Saccharomyces cerevisiae S288C: one gene and its partner. Changing the gene in region 2 together with the main gene of any one other region gives a genetic interaction. Each region holds a gene or a part of one and is shown on either strand. Other genes may lie near its edges. The genes, in order: CMI7 and DPI35.

Evidence for each region.
Region 1: mutations in DPI35 (region 2) and CMI7 together harm fitness less than expected from each alone (positive genetic interaction), as found in Saccharomyces cerevisiae (one large-scale study listed by BioGRID).

Annotation. Positions count from the first base shown.
Region 1 is NC_001141.2:348,297-351,346, reverse strand, and holds CMI7 (Cmi7p), read right to left. Parts: upstream 1,047-3,050; coding exon 837-1,046; downstream 1-836. Other genes in the region: phosphoinositide 5-phosphatase INP51, read left to right, coding at 1-756; iron-sulfur cluster assembly protein CFD1, read right to left, coding at 1,344-2,225; BET1 (Bet1p), read left to right, coding at 2,842-2,852, 2,984-3,050.
Region 2 is NC_001145.3:529,931-533,655, reverse strand, and holds DPI35 (Dpi35p), read right to left. Parts: upstream 1,538-3,725; coding exon 629-1,537; downstream 1-628. Other genes in the region: ribosome biosynthesis protein RRB1, read left to right, coding at 1-493; POM152 (Pom152p), read right to left, coding at 1,839-3,725.

The DNA of each region.
Region 1 (3,050 bases), on a different chromosome or scaffold from region 2:
TCTAAAGGATTACGAATAAAGGATCACGATGCAATTATTTGGATGGGCGATTTCAATTACAGAATATTGATGTCAAACGAAGATGTTAGACGAAAAATTGTTTCTAAAGAATATGCCAGCCTATTTGAAAAGGATCAACTTAATCAACAAATGATCGCAGGTGAGTCTTTTCCATATTTCCATGAAATGGCGATTGATTTCCCACCTACCTATAAATTCGACCCAGGAACTAAAAACTACGACACGAGCGAAAAAATGAGAATACCAGCATGGACTGATAGGATTTTAAGTAGGGGAGAAGTACTAGAACAGTTAGAATATAAATGCTGTGAAGATATACTATTTTCCGATCATCGGCCCGTATATGCCATATTTAGGGCTAGAGTGACTGTAGTGGATGAACAAAAAAAGACTACTTTGGGTACGCAAATCTACGAGAAGATTATGGAAAGGCTAGAGGGATTGGATGATGATGAGAAAATTGCAGTTTTGAGTGATGATGCATTTGTTATCGAAAGTTTTGAGGGCAGTGATTCGATAGCTGGCCCTACGCATTCTCCGACACCAATTCCCGAGCCCAAAAGAGGTAGAAAGTTACCACCACCTAGTTCGGATTTAAAAAAATGGTGGATTGGAAGTGGGAAGCAAGTTAAAGTAGTTCTTGACGTAGACCCGGCCGTTTACATGATTAATCCTAAAAGAGATCCCAATCCATTCGTTGAGAACGAAGATGAGCCACTTTTTATAGAAAGGTAAGTAAATGATCATTAGTGAAAAGATTATATATAAATATATTTATTTAGCGTTCCTTCCCTATGCGGCTGTGAGCGTACTCTCTATTTTTGGCTGGAACTTTTTGCCAAATCATTGTTGTCCCTGTGTAGATCTTCTAACTGAACTAACAGAGAGTCCATTTTCTTTTCCATTTCATCCAACTTAAGTTCGACTTCCGAGATTTTCTCTTCTCCTCCTTTTAGTAGGTTCAAAACATCTAAAATATCCTTTGCGCCTGCAGTACTGACATCTTCGGGTGTATCACGAGTCATATTATTGACGACGAGTGAAGTGTTCTGCGATTTCTCTAGAGTAATTGATTCAGTTGCTCTTTCTCAAAATTGTGTGATTAAATATTATTTCTTTGTCAATATTTACCCGGCCTTTTAAATTTGTATCACCACTTGAAGAACATGCTGCAGTTGCCGGTTAGCTTCTAACCACCTTTCGATATAGGAATCGAAATAGGAATCGAAATTTATTTCTAGGCCCAAGGATCAAAATATAAGTGTATATAAACACACACACACACATATATATATATATACGTACATGCATAGGAGAGGATCTTATTTTGGAGATTCTATCTGGGGTTGCTCGTGTTTATCCACAACAGGGGTTGTAGTGTCTTGTTTCCTCAGTTTCTTCATTATTTCTTCAAAAATGGGACAAAGAGATGATTCTCTGTACATTTCTACAAGCGTTTTTTTACTTGAAACTTGATTCTCAATCATTTCTACAAATTTTGGATCTATAGGAACGTTACCAAGGTATGGGACAGAAAATTGCTCCGATAATCTTTTACCACCCCCACTGGAAAAGATATTTGTACACTCAGCACAATGCGGGCATACAAACCCTGACATGTTTTCAATTATACCGAGGATCTTTAAATCGACCTTCTTGCAGAAATTGATTTCTTTTTTGACATCAGCTGTTGCAACACTCTGTGGGGTAGTTACTACAATACCACCATCTGGTTTGGAATATCTCAGCTCCTCTGCAATCGATATATGTTCATCCGACGTTCCCGGAGGGGTATCGATCAGTAAGTAATCCAGTTCACCCCAGGCGACGTCAGAGATGAATTGTTTTATCATAGAAGTCTTCTTAGGACCCCTCCATATCACGCTGTTCCCTCTATCACCTAGTAGAAACCCCAATGATATTACACTAAGAGAGCCAGTAGAGTTTGTCTCCACTTTCACAGGTTGCCAACCTTCAGGACCTTGATATATAGATTCGTTCTCTAGGCCAAACATCCTCGGTAAGGATGGCCCTGTTAAATCAATATCTAAAACTCCAACTTTGAAGCCCATACTGCAAAGAGTCAGCGCAGTCTGTGTCGTTACCGAACTTTTACCGACACCACCTTTTCCGGAAAGGATCAATATGATATGTTTTATTCCTGCCAAAGAGGCCGCAGGAACGCCTATCTCCTGTTCCTCCATGCTTAATTGTAATAGTCGTATTAGTTTTGGGTGCTCCTCGACGCATGTGTATAGTTTTCATTTTGATGGTGTAAAACGTTCATGACTAATGAAGCCTTCCGATTTCTTTCCATTTTGCTATTACTTGCGCGATGAGCCGTCTAATGTGATTCTTCCAAATAATATCTAATAAACCCATGGTGTTTACTCTGTGATAGGAACCAAAGATCCCGTAATTATCGCTTTGTAATTGTATTTCCAGTTATTTCTGTACATTCTAGGTTACTGTTCAGGGATATGTTTCACTCTTATCGATGTGGCGTGCAAAAAATTTGAAGGGGCGACATATCAGGGAAAGTATTAGTGATTTTTTATAATGTTGCACTATCTCAGATGAAATTTATGCATGCTAATTGGCGGATACTACTCTACCGTTGTTGCAAGCTACGTAGGAACGTTCACGGCTCTTTCTTCCATTAATTTTAAATTGCGAAAGTATCCAGTAGTTGTTAAAAATGGAGTTTTTTCAACTCGCGCCTTTTGCCAAGGAATGGTAGAAAACAAACAGTAGTTCACTTGAGACTGTGAATGTGTTAGAAAATGTGATTGAAGAGCCTCACAACACTAGGCTACACAGATGAGTTCAAGGTATGAGAAATTATTAGACTATTCTAAAGTTAGAGTAGCGCTTTTTGTTAAACATCTACCATAACACCTCGATATTGGGAGTTATTGACCACGAGTGAACTTCGTTTACTAACTATAGCGTGTGTATATAGATTTGCAGGGGGAAACGCTTATCAACGTGATACTGGTAGAACACAGTTATTCGGACCGGCTGATGGA
Region 2 (3,725 bases):
TTGGGACACAAGATCAAAAAAACATAAACCTGCTATCTCTGTTAAAGCTTCTAATACTGACGTAAATGTCATAAGTTGGAGTGATAAAATTGGTTACTTGCTAGCAAGCGGTGACGATAACGGTACATGGGGAGTATGGGATTTAAGACAGTTTACGCCAAGTAATGCTGACGCCGTCCAACCGGTTGCTCAATATGACTTCCATAAGGGAGCCATTACTTCCATTGCATTCAACCCATTAGATGAGTCTATCGTTGCGGTAGGCTCAGAAGATAATACTGTGACTTTGTGGGATTTGTCTGTAGAAGCTGACGATGAGGAAATTAAACAACAGGCCGCCGAAACAAAAGAGCTACAAGAAATTCCACCACAATTATTGTTTGTTCACTGGCAAAAGGAAGTTAAAGATGTCAAATGGCATAAGCAAATCCCAGGTTGTTTAGTAAGTACCGGTACTGACGGTTTGAACGTCTGGAAAACAATCAGTGTCTAAACTGTATAATACTTGGATCATATATTTACACATAGTAGATTATTAATAAACAAACCCATTCAAAGATATAGTAAATATTACTGGCGGATATGAATAATATCTATCATACATATTTGTTACTGTAACGTTAGGCGCTCAGGGAAAGAGTTCCTCTAAAACCTCAAGATTCGAAACAACGTACTTTCTTTCACTCAACTGTAACGTGTCAGTTTGCTTAGTATTGGCTTCCCAAGTGTTTATTGAATTATTATCTATTTTATCAATTGACAGCTTGTATTCGTCCCGCATTGGTTTACTAATCGAGTTTGAAAGAAACCCGTATTTATCATTTCTATCTAACAGTATACCAGTCCAACCGGCAGCTTCTGCCCCTTCGAGATCGTTCTTTAATTCATCTCCGATGTGAAAGCAATGCTGTAGAATTTCCTCCCTGGTGTACTTTTCGAGTAAATGAGGTTGTTTAGATATAATATCGTCAAGCGCATATTGAAATATTGCTCTATCAGGTTTGGCGAGATTAAGCTCATATGATAAATAAATGTGACCGGAAAATGTCTCAAATAATCCGATATTCTTTAATAATTTGTAAAAAATTGGATCAGTATTGCTTACTATTCCTAAGATAACATCAGGATGTCTTGACTTCAAATCCTTTAAAAATTTGATCAAATCTGGATAAACAAAATACGAATCGAAGCCCTCAAACCGCATTAATATTTCATTTATCATCTCATCGGGAATTTCGTTTGGTGCGAAGACGTTCCTAATCAAGATGGACCACCATTGTTCGGGCTTGATACCAGAATATTTTCCGTATTGGGGATAGTCTTCCTTCAGTTTTTTAAAAACGTGTGGAAAATTGTTTGTTAAAGTCGAAGGATTCGCCTTGATACCATATTTACGCCCAACAATGCAGTATTGTTCCATGACGGGAAGTTTTGTGGCGTATAGTGTATTATATGCGTCGAAAGTAATAATTAGTGGCCTTGCCACCCTATGAACTTCAGACCACGCATTTATAGGTATTCTTTTCGGATAGGTCATTGAGCCAATTTCTGTGGATGTTCAAAAGTCTGCTTTTAACACACCTCTATAGACCGTAAAGGACAAAGGTCTCAGCGCTCTCTTTTTCTATTCATTCACCTACACTCTTTCGAGTTACTATGAGCGAAGATAATTGAATCGAGCGTCTTGATAATTTTGAAGAAAAAGAACAACAAACAATACAGGCGTCTTTTTCGCTTTCTTAAGTATTTTAATACTGATGTACAGAGATATATTATACATTACAATTGTACAAAAATATTGCGGGAAAGAAAAATTTCATCAGACTTTCTTGTAATATTTAGTTATTGAAAAAAAGATCATTTTTGGCAAAACAATAAGCATCTGTAATTTCAATCGCCTCGTAGGTACCTTGCAAGCTTGTAATTACCTTGTATTCATGAGAATATATATCAGTGACTTTATGCGTCTCAACAACCTGCGACCTCCTTTTGCCGTGTTTTCCATCAGTCTCTTCTGTCCTTACATAAGTTAGTGAGAATGGTGGGGTACCTTCAAACGAAAAGATTACTTCAGCCTGGTCACCTTCGCGGATATCCTCAGTAACGTAATTTCCTTGAGAAACAGTTACGGAAGGAATAGGATGTATGTTTAAAGATAAGTCATCAAATTCACTCTTTAATTTAGGGTTCGTAAAGTCGACAATGCATTGTGATGATGAATCCTGTAAAGAAGTGATAGATATAATGCCCGGTTCAGATGCTAATCTAACAAATTGGGAGCTGCGTTCCTTAGATTTTAGTGGAATACCGTTGAATTCATACTTAATCATGAAAGGTGCCACACCGTTTAATTGATATGCAACATAGTCCCCAACACAATACTCGGTAGAAGGATCTAATATATGTATCTTTGGTGCATCAGTAATTGACACAAGAATTTGATTACGCGGTCCAGATATGAGGCTGTTAACACAACCATTTGCGTCAACAACAGAATCAATAGTAATGGCATGGTTACCTAACTTCATCCCTTCATATAACTTTTCAAATGAAAAGTTCTCTGAGTCAATGTTGTCAATGGTATACTGATCTGTCCTACTGGTACTCTCGTGATAAACGCTAAAGGTGATTGAAAATGGGCTTTCGCCTTGTAAAAATTTCAAATTTATTGGTTCCAAAAATGAGATTTGATCTACATTAGCAGCACATGCACGCAAGGTTTTACCACCATCAGCAAAGGCGACGTCTGGAATGGGGTGCACTGTCTGTTTGATTATGAGCTCCGACTGATGTTCTCTAAAATGTATGTCGCTTTCACCATAATTGCCATCGAAGATGGCCTTAATAGTAGTTATGTACTCTCCAGGAATTTGATTAGGCAGTTTCAGTGAAGCGTATTTGGTTGCCACCTGAATTTTTTTTGTAGAAATATGACCGTTGGGTGCCATCAAATCATATTCTAATATGAATGGTGGAGAACCAAATAGAGCCAAATCAACCGTACCTTCCATCCCTTGACAGACTTCTTCTTTAGAGAATAAATTTTCCGTTACTTTTGTAATGTGATGATTGTCTTGAATTGCAAATTTTGGCTTCTCCAAGAAAGATACCTTATACAGACTGTTCCGGTAAATCACATTACCTTGGCAACTTGAGTCACGAATATCGACCAATTGGTAAAGCCCTTCTTTACTTACTTTCAAAGCGGGCTTATAACTATTCTGAAATTTGTTTTCAAATTCTTTCACAATGTTTCCATCGTAATCCATGTGTTTAAACTTAACGGTGAATGGCCCCTCTCCACTTAATTTGAGCGGAATTTCAGTGACAGAACCGTGCTTAATTTTAGCTTCTTTGATAGGTTCAAAAAAATTGAATGCAGCAGATGGAATATCTCTCCTCACCTGTATTTTAGCATCTGGTTGGCTGAGTCCAACTACACAGCCGGTAGAATCCTTGATAGAAACCAAAGATAGAATATAATCACCACCAGTAGTAAAGACTGGTGTTTTAATGACATATTCGTTGGTTTTTATTTCTTTAATTTCAAAAGTTTTCCTCTTGCTAGAAAAAGTTTCAATGATATCATATGTTAACGTAAAAGGGCCTTGGCCTTTTAGTGCTACTGGGACACTGCTGTGGTCACCCAAACAGAGTTTCAAATCATGGTGTAATTTTAGTGATGCGCTTGGTTTCACCCTCATTGATGTCTTGAAAGTATATTC